5 linked regions of the Xenopus tropicalis genome follow. The protein of the gene in region 2 interacts with the protein of the main gene of each other region in a biochemical or structural test. Links are inferred from orthologs where the notes say so. Each region holds a gene or a part of one and is shown on either strand. Other genes may lie near its edges. The genes, in order: fchsd2, cask, cntnap2, plasma membrane calcium-transporting ATPase 4 and caskin1.

Evidence for each region.
Region 1: the proteins of cask (region 2) and fchsd2 form a complex in vitro, tested with the Homo sapiens proteins (2 studies listed by BioGRID and IntAct, with this or other methods). The link is inferred for Xenopus tropicalis from reciprocal best matches to the Homo sapiens genes CASK and FCHSD2.
Region 3: the proteins of cask (region 2) and cntnap2 form a complex in vitro, tested with the Homo sapiens proteins (2 studies listed by BioGRID and IntAct, with this or other methods). The link is inferred for Xenopus tropicalis from reciprocal best matches to the Homo sapiens genes CASK and CNTNAP2.
Region 4: the proteins of cask (region 2) and plasma membrane calcium-transporting ATPase 4 form a complex in vitro, tested with the Homo sapiens proteins (2 studies listed by BioGRID and IntAct, with this or other methods). The link is inferred for Xenopus tropicalis from reciprocal best matches to the Homo sapiens genes CASK and ATP2B4.
Region 5: the proteins of cask (region 2) and caskin1 interact in a biophysical measurement, tested with the Homo sapiens proteins (2 studies listed by IntAct, with this or other methods). The link is inferred for Xenopus tropicalis from reciprocal best matches to the Homo sapiens genes CASK and CASKIN1.

What each region holds. Positions count from the first base shown.
Region 1 is NC_030678.2:172,222,719-172,226,234, forward strand, and holds part of fchsd2 (F-BAR and double SH3 domains protein 2), read right to left. Parts: coding exon 3,460-3,516; intron 1,671-3,459; coding exon 1,509-1,670; intron 93-1,508; coding exon 1-92. UniProt on the Homo sapiens protein: Adapter protein that plays a role in endocytosis via clathrin-coated pits. Contributes to the internalization of cell surface receptors, such as integrin ITGB1 and transferrin receptor.
Region 2 is NC_030678.2:56,619,871-56,623,386, forward strand, and holds part of cask (peripheral plasma membrane protein CASK), read left to right. Parts: intron 1-67; coding exon 68-103; intron 104-892; coding exon 893-1,089; intron 1,090-3,516. UniProt on the Homo sapiens protein: Multidomain scaffolding Mg(2+)-independent protein kinase that catalyzes the phosphotransfer from ATP to proteins such as NRXN1, and plays a role in synaptic transmembrane protein anchoring and ion channel trafficking.
Region 3 is NC_030682.2:56,137,145-56,141,278, reverse strand, and holds the start of cntnap2 (contactin-associated protein-like 2), read left to right. Parts: upstream 1-1,322; 5' UTR 1,323-1,791; coding exon 1,792-1,885; intron 1,886-4,134. UniProt on the Homo sapiens protein: Required for gap junction formation. Required, with CNTNAP1, for radial and longitudinal organization of myelinated axons.
Region 4 is NC_030678.2:70,269,582-70,273,097, forward strand, and holds part of plasma membrane calcium-transporting ATPase 4, read right to left. Parts: intron 3,474-3,516; coding exon 3,216-3,473; intron 3,082-3,215; coding exon 2,956-3,081; intron 2,257-2,955; coding exon 2,128-2,256; intron 1-2,127. UniProt on the Homo sapiens protein: Calcium/calmodulin-regulated and magnesium-dependent enzyme that catalyzes the hydrolysis of ATP coupled with the transport of calcium out of the cell. By regulating sperm cell calcium homeostasis, may play a role in sperm motility.
Region 5 is NC_030685.2:19,460,947-19,465,015, reverse strand, and holds the start of caskin1 (caskin-1), read right to left. Parts: upstream 2,804-4,069; 5' UTR 2,314-2,803; coding exon 2,220-2,313; intron 1-2,219.

The sequences.
Region 1 (3,516 bases), about 120 Mb from region 2:
AGGGTGCCAGAAGGACTGGAGCTGCTGTCATCAAAGGCATCCATGCTGTCCTCCAACTCCTCTCCATCCTCCCGATCCACATCTGTGCCTCCCTGTCAGCAAACAACCAAAGAAATCAGGCCTTCTGTCGGGGGAACATCAAAACCAACAACACACCTAACGCTGTGGCTATTCTTCACCTTAAAGGGGTTGTTCACCTTTGAATTAACTTTTAGTGTGATGTAGCAAGTGATATTCTGATAAAATTTGTAATTGGACTTTATTTTTTATTATTTGTATTTTTTTTTTTTAGTTATTTGACTTTGTTTAGCAGCTTTTCAGTTTGGAGATTGAGCAGCTATCTGGTTGCTAGGGTCCAAATTACCATAGCAACCAAGGCCTGGTTTGAATGAGAAGGCTGGTATATGAATGGCAGAGGGACTGGATAGAAAAGGTTATAAAAAAAAGTAACAATAACAAGAAAACTGGAGCCTCACAGAGCAATCGTTTCTGGCTGCCGGGGTCAGTGACCCCCATTTGAAAGCTGCAGAAGAAGGCAAATAGTTCAAAAACGATAAAAAATAAATAATGAAGACCAACTAAAAAGTTGCTTAGAATTGGTCATTCTATAACATACTTAAAGGTGAAGTGTAAAAAAGTGTAAAACCTGACAAATCCACAGATATCCATAGTACACGATGAATGGTAGCACCTATTGCCCTTCTACAGTATTTGTGTCTATCTTGCTTGGACTGTAAGCTTTGTGGTACAAGGCCTGCTGTCTCTTTAAACAGATGTGTAACTGTACAACTTTATTTATTTACTGCAGTGTTTTCAGCACTGGCATTTAGAGAATTCTGCCTTTCAGCACAAGAAGCCGGAGTTAATGAGTAAGCGAGACGCTCCCCTTGTGACACCGGAGACTCACGCTGCAATTACTACACATTCCCAGCCTTGTGTTCCTTTCATTTACATTTGCTGTAAATGAGGTGCCACTCATCGGCCGGTGCCTCCCAGACAGTTTATCAGACTGCCGGCCAGCGTTTCATAACCTGGGAGCATGATTTATGGTGAGACACCCACTGGCTCATTAACTTGTAATATAGAGAATTCCTCATGTTAAAGGGCAATAGGCCGGTAATAGATTTAACTTACAATCAGCAGCTCGGAAATACATTGCTTTGGGTTGTTCCTGCCTGTGGTTTTATGGCGAGATTTAATTACAGTAAGTACTGTAAATCCTAATTCACTTCCATTTTAATGCAATCACAGAATGACAAGGATCTTAGTATTAGTAACTACCCAAATGATATACCCAGCACACATGAGACAGCACATATGTGGCCCAATCGAATAGGAGATTGGCAACAGCTGGAACAGAACCCACTGGGCAATAATAGAAAAAGAAGTCATTCATGAGCTGCAGGTTGCCATTTTTTTGCAGTGACTGTAGCTGCAACCGTAAATAAGGTGCATTTTAATATAATATATTTTATATTATATTATATATAGAGGTAATGTGACTATACCATATGGGAGGAGCCATTATTCATCAGGGTTGGGAGGCTTGCCCAGCGCTCATTCTCCAGCTCCTCCATCACCTGATTCATTGCACTCTTCAGCCACGTGTCCACCGACACACCGATTTGCCGCAACAGATCCAGTCGGGCTTCAGCTTTTAGCTTTGTAATCTGTACAGGAATAGAACATTATTTGTTATTGTTTTTTATATAGTGGCATATTTCATCAGTCCCCGCCCCAGTGAAGCTTACAATCTAAGGTCCCTGTCAAATTCCTATCAGTCCCTGCCCCAGTGGAGCTTACAATCTAAGGTCCCTATCACATTCCCATCAGTCCCTGCCCCAGTGAAGCTTACACTCAAAGGTCCCTATAACATTGCCATCAGTCCCTGCCCCAGTGAGCTTACAATCTAAGGTCCTTATCACATTCCCGTCAGTCCCTGCCCCAGTGGAGCTTACAATCTAAGGTCCCTATCACATTCCCATCAGCCCCTGCCCCAGTGAGCTTACATTCCAAGGTCCCTATCACATTCACGTGGCCAATCTTGTTGCATCCAATTAACTTGCTTGTATGCTTTTGGTATGTGGGAGGAAGCTAAAGTACTGGCATGAAACCTATACAGACAATGGGAAAAAGCATAAACTCCTTGCAGATGGTTTCCAGGTCACAAAGGAACTTAGGATCCAGAGGCAGAAGCAGTGCTAACCATTTCTATGGACACATTTCCTTTGAATTTTGAATTAGAAATCACTGGCTTCCTGGTGGGAAGACATTTGCTTTGCCAATTGCGAGGAAACGTCGGGCATCTTAGTGATGCGTATGCCTTCTCACCGGCAGTTCACATTACTGCCGGTGGAAAAGTATTTAGGGGAGAGCAGTTGCCCACGTTAGCAGAAATTTATTGTGGGTGACTAATCTCCCTGTGGGACATTAGACTTAGCAATAATGAAGCATAACAAGGCATCAGTTACCAAAGACAGATAAGTAACTTATAACCAGATAGATAAATTACATGTTAAGTGAAAGGGTAGGAGGGTAGAGCTTTTGCTTGGCAATTCTCACTGTCTAATCAAGCACAAATAATCATTAGCTGCCCTAGGTATCCAGTATCTTCCTGCAACCTCATGTGCGTGCCACCATGCTGCTAATGTTCTCACAGCTATATTACAAATCCAAATATAGACCTTATTAGAAAGGCAACACAAAATAGGTCATTGGATTTGCCCCCTATATAGATACGCTAGTGCCCTCAGCTGTAAATGCCCCCTGAAAGCGGTTGCTAGTAATTGTAATTGCTCGTGGAGCATTTGGGCAAAACCAAATGGATCTGGGTGAATCTTTATTAAGGAAACTGGAGAAACACGAGTTAGATAAGGAAACACGAGTTAGATAATGAAAGTAAGAATCTGAGGTATAAGCAGCAGCAATAGGGCAATTTAGAGCCTAGATTATCTTTCTTACTTCCCCTTTATTTAACAATGCGGTACAGATGGTAGATCTGCATCCAATATTTATGGACTTTACACTCTAGGTATGGGAAATACCGGACCAGAAAGTCATAGGTGCATTACGAAACAGCCTCCCCCAGCCATGGGAAAGTAACCAGGCCAATGAAGTGTTGAAGTTTCTGATCTGAAAGGGCATACGGTAACCTAACCCCTGCAGCAACCAGACACAGGGACGCTAAACAATGTCACACCTGAGGAAGAGAATCAGGCGACAAAGAATATTGCCCTTTGTCGTGAAACCAGAGACAGATAGAGTCCTCATATTCTTGCCTAAGGCCTTAACCCTTACTGGGACATAATACTCATCAGCAACCAGTGACTTTTGCTGCAAGTTCTTGCTTCAAATCTTGCCTCTGTGCGCAAGCAAAGTTCTAAAATCTGGGAGCACAACACAACTGCACTGCTTGTTGGCCCCCCGATTTACCCCAGTGTTACAGATGGCACAACTTACCTCTGCCTTGCGCATATTCTCTCTAGTCTCTTCTATCTTTTGTTCCAGTTCCATCCG
Region 2 (3,516 bases):
AAAGAATCAAACTTTGGGTAGCCTGTAAAATAAAAATGTCTTCTTTTGGGTTGACTTTGTTCTGCAGGACATTCCAACAACCACCCAGACAAAAGGAAGACAGGTGAATACAATTTCTATATAACTTGTCATTTTTTTCCCTGGCTCCATTTGTCTTACTTGTATATTTATATAACAGTCTCAGCATCCCTCCTATATGCCACAGTTACGTTAGGTTGCATTTATTAGCAAGGTAAAAGGAATGAGGTTTTATAATATTTAGCTCAACATTTTTTTAACTTGATGGTATGAAAATCTTAAGTTGGCCATACATGTGAAGATCCGCTCATTTGGCGAGTTTGGCAAACAAGTGGATCTTTTACTGAAATGCCCACCTTGAGATGGGCGTTATTGAATCACATTTACAGGATACAGGCCATCAGGGTGAGGACTGCATCAATGCACCAATGCGCTCCTTGTTTTGAAGGGATTTTTAAACCTGTGTGATCAACATTTGTCCAATTTTTGCAAGGATATCGGTCAGATCCATACATAGACCGATAAACTGCCAACTCAGACTGCTGCCAGCTTTTATTGGCCAGTGTATAGTAGCTTTAGTCTTTTGTATAGACAGATGCTGAAAATAGTATTTCCATGTGATGCTATAGGATTTCAACATGTATGTCGTGTATAGATTTTTACTAGAAAATCTTGTATTCATTTTCCTTCTTTCATGCAAGCTTTAGCTCACTACTTTTATTTGCATGCTGATTACTAATTTTCACATCATTGTTCTTACTATTTGTAATGCTTACAAAAAGCACAGCATCGGATATGAAACAGGGCTTTCTGTGACCTTTCATGTTTAACCTCGCTAATCTCTTAATATTTCATGATTTATATTGTTACTTAGATATATGTAAGAGCACAATTTGAATATGATCCAGCAAAAGATGACCTCATTCCTTGTAAAGAAGCTGGCATCAGATTTAGAGTTGGAGACATTATCCAAATTATTAGTAAGGATGACCACAACTGGTGGCAGGGCAAACTGGAAAACGCTAAAAATGGCACTGCTGGTCTCATTCCCTCTCCTGAACTTCAAGAGTGGTAAGTGTTTTTGGTTTTATGGAGTGGGTTGTGTGTTTCCACTTACATGTTATAGTACTTTGTTATGGTTTGCTGATGCAGAGAATTGTTCATATGAATAGTCAGTTCTATCTTAAAAGTTAAATATTGCAGAAATCTACAATGATCCTGTTAAGGATTTTACCATCAAATTGAAAGGCTGTGTTCTCTACCCTAACCACAGGCCTTACTAAAAAAATGATTTATGAAATGAGCACAGCATATTTGATGGATCAATACTGTAGGTGGATGGGCAGTTCAGGTCTGCTTCACAGCACTAGCTTGGCCATAAGCTAGGGTTTCTGGTGGGCTAAATATTGGAAACAGTTGCTGAACACCCAAAATATTGTTGTTGTTTTTGCTTTTTGTGTGTGGCCACATCGTTTTGATTAAGTGTGCAGTTATTTTTACAAAAGCTATTTTCAAATAGTGTGCCACATATAATAATTTGAGTTGTTTCTCTGAAATTTACATTTTAACAATAAATTATCTTAATTTGCCTCCCTGTCATATATGTGCTTTAAATTAGGTTTCTGAACCTAGCTGTTCTCATCAACAGCAGCAGCAGTGAGATGTTAGCCACTAATATATCAATTGTAATGTGCTCTGTGACCGGGGATTTTCATGTGAAGCCATTGAAGCTGCTGGCTGCCACTAAACAGAATTGGTCGCTAAAAATATATGCATAAAACAGCCCATATGTAAACCATTTACATATGCTTTATCTAAATTACCCATTTTCATAAAAATATAAGTTTCTAGACATATTTGCCATAATCACAAAATGGGTAGCTTCTTAAATTGTATGATTCACAGGACACACAAACAAACCATATACATGCTAGGTCAAATTAGCCAATGAATAGACAAAGTTCTGACTTTTAGGGCTCTGGCACACGGGGGAGATTAGTCGCCCGCGATAAAACTCCCTGTTCGCAGGCAACTAATCTCCCCGAGTTGCCTACCTCTGCCATCCCACCGGCGAACATGTAAGTCGCCGGCGGGATGGCAGACGCGGCGGCGCGATTTCGCGCAAATCGCCGAAAAAGACTCGCGAGTCTTTTTCGGCGATTCCCTGAAATTGCCCCGCCGCGTCTGCCATCCCGCCGGCGACTTACATGTTCGCCTGTGGGATGGCAGGGGTAGGCAACTCGGGGAGATTAGTCGCCCGCGAACAGGGAGTTTTATCGCGGGCGACTAATCTCCCCCGTGTGCCAGAGCCCTTACTCCCACACTTTTTCCTGTTACAGTTAGAGCTGCATTACTTCTATTATTTGGAAATAAGTTTTGTTAACTGCCCTATTAATCTTAGCCATTATTAACCTGTCAAATATATGTTTTAAACACTGCATACAATGTTCCCTCTTATTACTTATTGGCTATGTGCGCAAAAAAATTAGGTCAGAATAAATTAAAAATTTTGTGTTTAGGTGAAAGCGCATAAGTGTATAGTTTTACCTTAATTTATAATTGGTGCTAAGTAAAGTAAATCCATTATTGTCACATGACTCTTTACTTGTGATCTTGTGTCCAATCCTAAAGCAAGGGTGAATAAGTGAACTTAATGTGGCATAGGCATTTGAAGAGGAATTTCTGAGGGAATTACATTTTTGGTTTGAGCTGTTTATGCAGTCTTTTGACATTATCAATTTGATAGGGAATGTTGTGGAAAAGCTTTACTGATTTCTAGAGGAGTAATAGTGCCTATAATTCCAGAAGTACTTGGGTTCTGTCTGTAATTATATTGTCATGTCCAAGCTTCTTGGCTCCTGCATGTAACTTGCATATTACCATCTCTTTCTGGAGAAGCATTTTGGCTCTGATAGGTATGTATGTATGTATGTATAACTTTATTTATAAAGCGCCACAAGGGTATGCAGCGCTGTACAGTCTTACAGAATACAAAATTACACACAGGGAGGACAAGTGATTGTATTTATTTATTATAAGTGCCATGTGGTATGAGACACAGTAGGAAGGAGGTCCCTGCCCCGTAGAGCTTACAATCTGAGTGGTTGGGTAACATACAGGCACAAACTGGAAGGTAAGAGTGCATCAGGTATGGGCATTTGCCCTTAAGCGCAGGACTGGGCAAAATAATGTTTTAGTGCTCCAGAAGGTAACAGCTGAGTTTTTTCTTAAAGAGAGTGGGTGAGTTTTCCCTACGGAGGGATTCAGGGATAGAGTTCCAGAGGTAAGGAGCAGCGAGATAGAAAGAAAGGTTTAAGACGAGAGAGCGCAGTGGGTGTGGATGGTGTAAAGAGACGGAGGCTCTGAGAGGAGCGGAGGAGACGACCAGGAACATGTAGGGAGACCAGTGAAGAAATGTAGTGAGGAGCAGAGGAGTGAAGGGCTTTGAATGTCAGCAGAAGGATTTTGTAAGCTATCCTTTGCTTGACAGGCAGCCAT
Region 3 (4,134 bases), on a different chromosome or scaffold from region 2:
TTGGAAGGGTTAATGTTGCCGCATAAACACGGAAGTGTAAAATTTAGACATTTAACCTTTCCAAATCCCAATTAGCATATGTTAATTAGGATTCGGATTCAGTTTGGTAAATCCCTTCAGATGGATTTGGGGGTTCGCCCAAACACGAGAAATTGGGTTCGGTGCATCCCTACTTCATATGAAAGTTATCAGCAACTCTTTGTTATTCTTTGCACTCCTGGTTCTGACTATTGAAAATAGTCCTCAGACCTCAGAAGAATTGTCCTGATAGGGAGAAAATACTGTAGATTCTGCTACATTGTTTCAAGAACCAAAACAAGGAGAACATAAAGTGAGAGGAAAATACTGCTTTCTGTTACTGAATAACTTTAAAACAGTAGAAACATTTTCAATTATGTATTTTGGAAATTGTTAGAATGGCATTTTCTTACATTAAGCACATACTGGCTTTTATATTTCCATTTACTTCCAACAATTCAACAGTTTATTTTCCATAAAATGGCCAGAAAAAGGTCTTTGTAAGTCTATGTTTACTTTATAATTCATAAGCATCTTATTCAGAACTGTCTTCTTAGGAAATGTCATGCAGTGCTGCACATACATTGCTTTTGCATTTAATCATTTGTATCTGAGCTAGCCAACAAGGTTTCTTTGTATATGGGACAGTTTAGAAATATGTTTTTATGTATTTCTGTTTGAAGCCTATGATGTTTGCATGTGGGTGCCCTATTGACAGAAGGAGCACTGCCATGTGCATTGTTCTGACTGTTCCAGTGCTTTGCATTACACGAGTCATGTTTAAATGCACTTGACTGTTAGCAAAAGGCCATCTACTGATTATCTGCTGAACTGCAGGCAATAACCCAAGCATCCCAGTATCCCTGATCAGCCTTTTAATAGGTCCCCTCCCCCCTTCCATCAGTCTGCAGGAGCTGGTGCAGAGATTAAAACAACACAAGGGTTCTGCTTCATGCCATCTACGCTCAGCCATTGAACACTCTGCTCCCTCTGACTGCCTCATAAAAGCAAGATTTCTGCCTAAGGTTTCTGGCTGAAGGAACACAGCAGGGCTGGGGAGGAAGAAGCAGTGGCAGCATCAGCAGCAGCCGGCGGAGTGGAGCCGGTGTGGGCTGTGCTGCAGTGCTGGAGCTCTGCTTCCTCTTAGAGAGCTGCTGAATAAATATAGCTCTGTGCTTTTCAATGTGATTGTGGGGAGTGTCTTCTCCTGTGCCTGCCTGCTCTGCTGTGTGGCTGCATATATATATATATATATATATACAGTATGACTGTGTGTTTCTGAGCTGGGTTATTCCAATCTCTGGAATTGGAAGGGCTCAGCTGCGGAGACAGCTTCAGCAGCACTGCTTCCATCTCCCTGCTCCTCACTCCTATCCTAATCTACTTGCCCATGGCCGGTGTGGGATTTTCCTGTTAAGATACACACACTCTTCCGATACAGGTTGTTTGATCTGTTTCTTTCTGTTTCTCTGTGTCTGCTTCTTAGCCATGATCTTCAGAAGTGTGAGAACAAGTTTGGTAATTCACTGCTAAGGACATCAAGGGGACTTGAAGACCCAATCAAGGGTCTGGCAAAGCAGGGCAGGGGTGGGCTTGTTATTCTTGGACAAGGGGGGAGGTAAATATTTAACCACCCCACCCTCAGCTATTTCCTATCTTCCACTCCCCTTCTCATCAAAGCAAGCAAGGCTACAGAACAGGAATACTGTTGGGAGAAGTTCCACATACACACTGCTGGGATCTGGAGTTTATACCTAGGACCATTTGCAAGCCATGGTTTGGATATTCAGAGACAGGTGCACTGTTCCATTCCTGGGGATTTTGAGCTGCATCTACTGCATGGCCCGGAGTGCCTCCCCTACATCTAGTAAGTCTTTTATCCCTTTCTATTTCCCACTTGTTTCCCACGGCTCCCTGACATATAAACAGAGATCTTTTGCCCCTGCTGCTGTCTTCAATCACTATATACTCAACACTGTATGTCACCCAGTGCCTGGCTGCAGACGGCTCACACAGCATATTTCCTAAAAGTTATGAAATTCCCCCGCTCCAATGAGAATTCTAACATTTGCTGATTCCTCATGGTACTAATCGGAAAGGAAAACATTTGCTTATAAGGCACAAAGGCATGAGCCATCTGATTAAACATTAGTCGCAGATAAGTGGCAAAGCCTCATGCTGCATGACTTTATTAATACTTAAGCAGCTCACACAGGGTGAATGGAATGTGGATGATTTCCATTACGGTCCTGCTGAAACTGAATAAGTCTGGGGTGCACAAGGAGTGTTAGAATGGCAGCATTATTGTAGGGAAGTTATGTGCTTTGATACAGCAGCTTGGTTCTTTTTTTGTCTGAAATACCAGTAAGAAAGTTTGTTGTGCATTGATTTCCCAGAAATAAAGTGCAAAAAACTGATGAATGAATGCTTCATTTACAAATTAGATGGGAAAACAAACATATTTGGAAGTTGTTAATTTTAAACATGGAATTCTTGTGAATGAAAGCACGTATTTTTGTGAAAGCTAGGCTGCTGTTATTATCATGGGGCGTAATGTGCCATGTGTGCCCACTGTGTGGTTCTGCTGCTTCTACCATAAACATATATTATTGGCATGTGAGCTGTGTTTTATTTCATATAAATTGCTTTTATAATCAGATCTATGGCCTTCAGCTGTTGTAGGGCTACAGATGGTGGGTATTGAAGTTTATAGCTAGCAGGAGGGCAGCAGGTAGGGCGGCCTTGGTGTTTATAGAAGATTTATTTATTTGGCCTCATTTTCAGCATTGCCTAACCATGACAATTAATGGCATTAACTACCCCCCCCCCCCCCCCCCCCCGTGTGCATGGGACTATATTGTCTGAGATGAAGATATTTTTTCTGTAATTGCAAGTCGACAATGTGTGATAGACTCTCTGATATCCATTAATTATTGTTGATACTCAGTCAGGTAAATGCTGAGGGCAGAAGCTGAACCTGTCACATTACAGTCCTGCACCTCTGCATCTTTGGGGCTTCCTGTGATGCTGTTTGACTAGAGTTACTATGGTTGTACCTCTCAGATGTCTATGTGAATACATGCATATTATAGCTATTCTTGATATGATTTAGTGTATTTGCTACTTTCTGTAAGGCTGTTTACGTAATATGCTAATTTAAGAGGCATATTTATCAGTGGTTAAATGGACAGTTTGAGTGGCGTCCTCCTTTGGTAAACTATAGGGTACTGTATATTCACTCTTTTATATAGTTGCTGCCATTTGTAGAACTGGGCATGCTACTGAAAGTATAGCAATCAATTTATGAAATTAAACAGACCATTTCATGTGTTATGTAGTTGGATTAAAATGCAGCAACACAGACCTTATAAAGTGTATACGTGACCATTAACCTCTTGTGCTCCTGGATAGTCTTAGTACTGTCAGAATTCAGTAAGATGGTGACACTGTGTTCTGGGCACTGTCTCCAGCTATTCTGAATAAGGTTTTAATTACAAATGCAGGATAGGCAGTAATATTCAACTGTCAGTGATATAAGAGTGGCAACTTAAACATATGGTTGCTAAGTTTCATTTAAACACAAATCCCAGCAAGCATTCATCAATAGAAAGATGCTGGGAGTTGTAGATAAAGCATCTCTGGAGGGCTTCCAGTAACCAATCCCAACATGAGTATGAAAGCTTTTGTGCCCTTTAAGTTTTAATCTGACTTAGCAGCACATCTGCCAATGAAACCAAGTGATGAATGTCCCCTGCCTCCTCCTTTATGTGTAGGTGAAATTAACTACTTGCATGCCAACACAAAGATAGTAGATATATAACATTAAAAGGAAAGATATATAACATTAAAATGTGCTATAACGCGATTTTTAAATATTGTAATTGTATAATTTGTATTAATTAATCGTTATAATGTCTTTGTACATAAATATTGACAAACAAATAGCATTGAACTGAGATATTGCCTGATGTTGCTATGCTTTGAGACATTTCCATGTCCATAAGGCTTATTTACGAATATAGGTGCTAAATTGCATAAATGCAGTTGCCAACAGCTTCTAATCAGCAACTGGTTATCGACAGTCTACAACAAGTTAGAAAATGAAAGCAAAGACCT
Region 4 (3,516 bases), about 14 Mb from region 2:
AACATTGAACCTCATTTTCCAGTTTGCTGCCCAGTTTTCCAATATTTTCAAATCGCTCTGCAAAGTGGCAGCATCCTGCATGGAACTTATAGTTTTGCACAATTTAGTGTCATCAGCAAAAATAGAAACAATATTGTCTATGCCCACCTCCAGGTCATTAATAAACAAGTTAAAAAGCAAAGGACCAAGGACTGACCCCTGCGGTACTCTTCTAACCACACTGGTCCAATTAGAAAATGTTCTATTTACCACCACTCTTTGTAATCTATCCTTCAGCCAGTTCTATATCCAATTACAAATATTACGTTCTAGGCCAATATTCCTCAATTTGATCATCAACCTTCTGGGAGGTACTGTATAAAACACTTTAGCAAAGTCCAAGTAGATGACATCAACTGCCATTCCAGCATCGAGGTTCCTGCTCACCTCCTCATAAAAGGCGACTAAATTAGTCTGGCAAGATCTGTTACGCATAAAACCATGCTGGCACAAACTTATAGTATTGTGAACTGCACTGTATTAAAGTACCCTATCCCTTATTAGCAATTCGCCAGTCTCTCGGCACCATGCCAGACCTCAACGAATCCTGAAAAATTATGTGAAGAGGCTTGGCAATCACAGCGCTCAGCTCATTTAATACCCTGGGATGAATCCCATCCGGTCCTGGACCTTTGTTTACCTTTACATGTTCAAGTCTCTTTTGAATTTCCTCCTGAGTGACCCATGTGTCAGTAGCTAAATTACTAGAACTGGGCATATTAAAAGGGAAGCCTTCATTAGCTGGCTCCTCAGATGTATAGACAGATGAAAAATAAGGAGTTCAAAATTTCTGCTTTTTCCCCGTTCTCATCAACCAACTTACCCCCCTGTGATAATAAGGTTCCCACCCCTTCTTGCTTCATTTTTTTACCATTCACATAATTAAAAAATAATTTTGGATTCTTTTTACTCCTAGCTGCAATATCCCTTTCCATCTCTATTCTAGCTTGCCTGATAGCTTTTTTGCATGCTTTATTTGCTTCCTTGTACCTGATGAAAGTTTCGTCTGTCCCAGCTAACTTGAATGCTTTAAAAGCACGTTTTTTCTTACCAACCTCGACACTAACACTTTTATTCAGCCATAAAGGTTTTGCTTTGCGATGCCTCTCCTTCGTACAAGGGGAATATACTGTTGTGTATACCAGCAAAGCAATGTTTTAAAGATGTTCCATTTTCCTTCCGTGTCTAACCTAAGCCTTTCCCAGTTGACACATTGCAGAGATGCCCTTATACTGGCAAAGTCTGCACATCTAAAATCGAGCGTTTTAGTTACTCCCTTATAGAGCTGTCTCTGCAGCATTATCTCAAAGGAGACCATGTTGTGATCACTGTTCCCCAAATGCTCACCCACACAAATGTTAGAGATGAGTATGGATAGAAAAAGTCTGTGAATAGGACACAGTGAGTGTTAAAAAACTGTTGCAAAGCAAAGATGTGAGGACAGCGGAAGGTAAAAGGAATTTTTCCAAAAAAAATCTCCTAGAAAAATTAAGACAAGTTTGTAAGGATTTCCAATTGCAAGCAGGAGCTGATATAGGAAATACAGGATACAGGAACTGATATAGGAAAATTAAAACCAATATTTTCTTTCCAACCATGTCATCTAAAATACAATTGACAGTCACAAATTGCTAAATTAGTTATGTATACGTATGCACACCAGATCACAAAAGCAAAGAAGAAATATTTCTATTCTGTGTTTTAACTTACTTGAAGACTGCTGTAGTATGTAGACCTCTGCACATGTAAATATAGTCTGATACAAACCAGAATCATTTGTAAAGGGCTGACATAAACCCAGTTTTGTTTTATTTTTACAATATTTATTAATATATATTAAAACATTTTTGGAATTGTACATACATAATTTGTTTCATTTAAAGTGTCAGATCGAAGATTTTATACAACGATGTAAAAAAAAAGAAAACAAAAAAAATGTTACACAATCTCAATATCTGTTTTTTTTTTTTTTTTTTTACTTAGATTGTGAACTTACAATGAATCATGAGCAAATCCAAGTGAGTTACTCTTGTTCCTTGGTTGCTCATTATAAACCCAATTTTTAAATACTGTGCAAGGGATTATTACCTTTTTTGGATTTTTTTTCCTCTTCACCTCCCTCATTTGCACCTAGCAAAGTGAATATTATGCCAGTTTGAGAGTTGACACCTACTGCTGTGACTACCATACGTCCAGACCCTTCCATTACGTGTGTTCCTGTGGGCAAACAAGGCAGAAGCTATTACTAACATCATGGAGCTAATTTATATATCTATTTATTTTAAATATTTGAGGGTTATAAAAATTGCAATAATCTAAAACTTCCTGATATGCCCAGAATTTGCATTCAATTCTAAACCCCACAGTACCTGTGGCATACCATTGCAAGTCTGGTGAAGGATTCCATTTTGTGCCATTTAGTAACCCTATAGCTATAGGGCTTAATGTAGTTTGGCTGCAAGTCTAAAATGTGCACTTTTAAACATATTTGTGGGGATGTAGGTACAATATTTGCACATACAAACATTTAATTTACAACTGTGCATTCATCTTTGACGGTATGTTCCCTTTTACTCATAACATATTTGATGCGACTGCATCAGTGATCAGGGTCTGACTGGGCCGGCGGGACACCAGGAAAAAACCTGCAGCAGGTGGGGTGGGTGGAAGAGGCGTACTTGCAAATACCAACTGGGACGGGGGGCCCTAGACACCTTAGTCCGACAATGTCAGTGAATAGCCAAAAAATGTGCCAGATTATGAACCGATTTGCTACTTGTGTGGATTCATCAAGCAACAGAGAACTGCAAGGGCCACCATACAATTTAAAAAAAAAAAAAAAATACAACCAAAATCACCAAATTTAGACAGCACTTCTATTTAGAATTAACCCCACAGGTATAGAAACAATTTTACCTGACAAAAGCATGGGGTCTTTCTCTAATGATTTTTTCACCTGATCGCTCTCCCCAGTTAGAGAGCTTTCATCAATTTTTAAGTCATTGCCTTGAATCAATATCCCATCAGCAGGAAGGAGGTCACCTGTATAACAAACAAATACATCAGATTATACATCAGATCATAAAACAGGTTTACAGTGGAATGCTGGGAAAATAACAATACTGTTATTGTATTTCTAAACAGTGATAGTCTATAAAAACTCTTCCTATACATACCATATTTTATTTGTGCAATATCACCGACTACTAGCTCTGCTACAGGGATTTGGATAACCTGTCCTTTGCGGATAACAGTGAATTTCTGCTCCTGCTCAATTCGGCTCTGTAGGCCTCGAAATTGCTTCTCTTTGCTCCAGTCATTGAAGGCGGTAACAAGCACAACTATGATGACCGAGAATAAGATGGCTGCCCCTTCAATCCATCCAGCTTGAGCCTCACCTTCATCCTCCACTCCTGCAGCAGCTTCCCCACATACTGCAAAAAGGAAAGTAGGAAGAATTGAGATTCTAACAGTACT
Region 5 (4,069 bases), on a different chromosome or scaffold from region 2:
TGCTTGGGCTGCCATGAGTTTGTGTCAGACCCAGCATTCTGTCCCTCCTCAAGACAAATACTGTATAAATGCTGCCATGGCAGGAAGTTATGGCACAGACCAGGCATTCTGTTATTATTAACATTTAACATATATTTATAAAGCACCATGTTACTCTTCAATACAAATACAGTATAAATGCTGCCATGAGAGGAGGTCATGGCACAGACCATGCATTCTATCCCTCCTCAATACAAATACTGTATAAATGCTGCCATGAGAGGAGGTCATGGCACAGACCAGGCATTCTATCCCTCCTCAATACAAATGCTATATAAATGCTGCCATGACAGGAAGTTATGGCACAGACCAGGCATTCTATCCCTCCTCAATACAAATGCTATATAAATGCTGCCATGACAGGAAGTCATGGCACAGACCAGGCATTCTATCCCTCCTCAATACAAATACTTTATAAATGCTGCCATGAGAGGAGGTCATGACACAGACCAGGCATTCTGTCCCTTCTCAATACAAATACTGTATAAATGATGCCATGACAAGAAGTGATGGCACAGACCTGGAATTTTGTTCCTTTTTTATCCAAATACTGTATAAATGAATGAAGGCCAAAGAATATACAGGTAGCCATATATGAATGACAGTCATAGACCATGAGGTAAAACAACAACACTGCCACATAAGCATCAAGACTGGGATTCCAGGACCCAAAGATATAACCCAAACAAAACCAGTGGGAGCAGGAAAAGTGGAACCGGACCTGGCATGTATAAGGAGATGCTGTAAAATGATATCCTCCCTTTGATACACTGAGCAGTGGGACTGCCAGGCAAAGGACCAGGATACCATAGGTACCATATCCAGCATAGGGACCCAACGCTTCCACCATGTCCCCTCCCATTCCTGCATGCTGCAGCAATCACAGACCTCCACCGGACGCCCCTCACCCATCAGAATCCCTGTACCACTAATGCAGATTAGCTTTTCCCTCTCACAGTCCTTTCCCCAGTCAGGAGGCACCAGCTGAGCCTGACAGCGGCGTCATGCCATTAACACTCTTTCAGGGCCAATAACACTCTCTCTCAGGGCCCGGCAATGGCATTTTCTTCTAGCTGCAACACGAGCCCCCAAACTTCTGCTGCCAGCGACGGCCAACTTTGCAGCCACGTTATCCCATGGTTGCTGGGAGTTGTGGTTTAGGAAAAAGCCAGAGGGCTGCGAGGTGGACATCATTGGGACATAGCTGCCAGCAAAGCTTACACCCTATATATATATATATATATTCTTAATACTGATCTCATTACAATGCATGGGAAGAACAGGTGTCTATGTATGAATCCATCATGTAATGACATGGCACCCAAATATGCAATATTCCCTTCATACATATGATTAACCCTTTCGTCACTTGTGAGGTGAAAATGATGCTCCCTCTGCATGTCCCTCCATGAAACATCTTTCTGCACATGTACCCGTACTATATCCTTAGCCTGAAATCCTCCCCACCCCAACACACACAAAGTGCATCCACCAAACCGAGAGCAGCACCCAAATTCATGTTGCAACCAATGCAAAATACATATTTGTCGCTAAAATGGGGTATTATAGCCTGCAGAGTAAGGGCAACGCCACTGGAATTAATGGTGGATTGCACTTCTTTTGCACATGGCACCACTTGGTACATAACCCTGCTAATACCTAGCTGTCAGTAGAAGAAGGGGTATCTTGCAGAGGCTGGTGTGCACATCATAACACAGGGCACAGTGGGCATGCAAGGATACTGTATAAAAGCTCTCAAGCAAATACCCCATTGGCTGGCATACATATGTGCAAAATCTGACACGACAGGGCAGTCAACTGGCCTGAGAGTTCAGTAACTTAAGTGGAAAACATAACGTGGCACCAACATGCAGTTTGCCCCCAGTAACTGAGGCCCACGGTGCCAACTGCAGCTGTGTTCATGGCAAAGGGGCCAATTTTAGCCACAAACAGTATCTACTACATGAGGAATGCCCAACCTGGTGAGGTTGAATTGAAGCTCCCAGCATCCACCAATAGCCAATTATGAAGGATGCTGGGAGTTGTCGTTCGTCGCCAACTTGAGGGCCTCAGGTTGGGCAATCCTTGCGCAGGGAAAGTGCCTGCTAATTAATTCTTTGCTGATTAAATCCCCTTCAAGCTCTTGAGCCAATTAAATGGATCATCTCTGTGCTACTCACTGGCTTTGCCTGCCTTGGGTCTCTGCAGCAGCTTCTGTACCATCCCCAGGTCCTCGGTCTTCACAGCCTGGAGCAGCTCCTGGTCCTTCCCCATCCTTCTTCCTTTCACTGGGGAGGGGGGGTCAGATGGGGCTAAAGCTGGGGAGGGAGGGGGCAGATCCTGCTCAGATTGGTCCTTAGAGCCAGAGCATCCTTTTTGGCAGAAGGCGTTGAGGATGATGAAGAGGTGGAAAATGGTGAGGGGTGATGGAGATCAGGCTCCCTGCAGGGGTGGGGAGATGGGGGGAGACTGTCAGATGTGCTGGGGGGCAATAGAGACACCTCCAGCCGGGAGGAGCCACACTACAAGCAAGTGAGCAGCAATCACCATCCTGAATACGGGGGTTCGGGGTTCCCGGTTCGTTAGGGGATGTTTCGCCCTGCTTCTCCCTCACCGGCTGCGCGATGGCCGCACTGCTCCCCCGGGTATGTGGGCGCACAGGGTCACCCCAGGATACTGCTCCCGGTGCAGGACAGGCTCTCCCGCTAAAGGATGCTCGGCTCCGGGGTGCAGGCAGTGTGTGTGACTGTGTGTGTGCGACTGCGATCCGCCTCTCTCCCTCTCCTGATCCCTCCTCCCTCTCCCCCTGTATTGGCTGCGCTCACACTCAGCTGCATCCAGAGGCGGATCCGCGGCAGCAAAACCTGCAATTTCCAGCAGCGCAACTGCACCCATGCACCTACCGGCACCTACCGGCACCTACTGGCACTTACATACACCTACCGGCACCTACATACACCTACCGGCACTTACATACACCTACCGGCACTTACATACACCTACCGGCACCTACATACACCTGTGCCCAGGGCACCTACCGGCACCTACATACACCTACCGGCTACTACATACACCTACCGGCACCTACCGGCACACACATACACCTGTGCCCAGGGCACCTACTGGCACTTACATACACCTACCGGCACCTACATACACCTGTGCCCAGGGCACCTACCGGCACCTACTGGCACTTACATACACCTACCGGCACCTACATACACCTACCGGCACTTACATACACCTACCGGCACTTACATACACCTACCGGCACCTACATACACCTGTGCCCAGGGCACCTACCGGCACCTACATACACCTACCGGCTACTACATACACCTACCGGCACCTACCGGCACACACATACACCTGTGCCCAGGGCACCTACTGGCACTTACATACACCTACCGGCACCTACATACACCTGTGCCCAGGGCACCTACCGGCACCTACTGGCACTTACATACACCTACCGGCACCTACATACACCTACCGGCACTTACATACACCTACCGGCACTTACATACACCTACCGGCACCTACATACACCTGTGCCCAGGGCACCTACCGGCACCTACATACACCTACCGGCTACTACATACACCTACCGGCACCTACCGGCACACACATACACCTGTGCCCAGGGCACCTACTGGCACTTACATACACCTACCGGCACCTACTGGCACTTACATACACCTACCGGCACCTACTGGCACTTACATACACCTGTGCCCAGGGCACCTATTGGCACTTACATACACCTGTGCCCAGGGCACCTACCTGCACTTACATACACCTGTGCCCAGGGCACCTACTGGCACTTACATACACCTGTGCCCATGGCACCTACCGGCACTTACATACACCTGTGCCCAGGGCACCTACTGGCACATACATACACCTGTGCCTAGGGCACCTACCGGCACCTACTGGCACTTACATACACCTACCGGCACCTACTGGCACTTACATACACCTGTGCCCAGGGCACCTACCGGCACTTACATACACCTGTGCCCAGGGCATC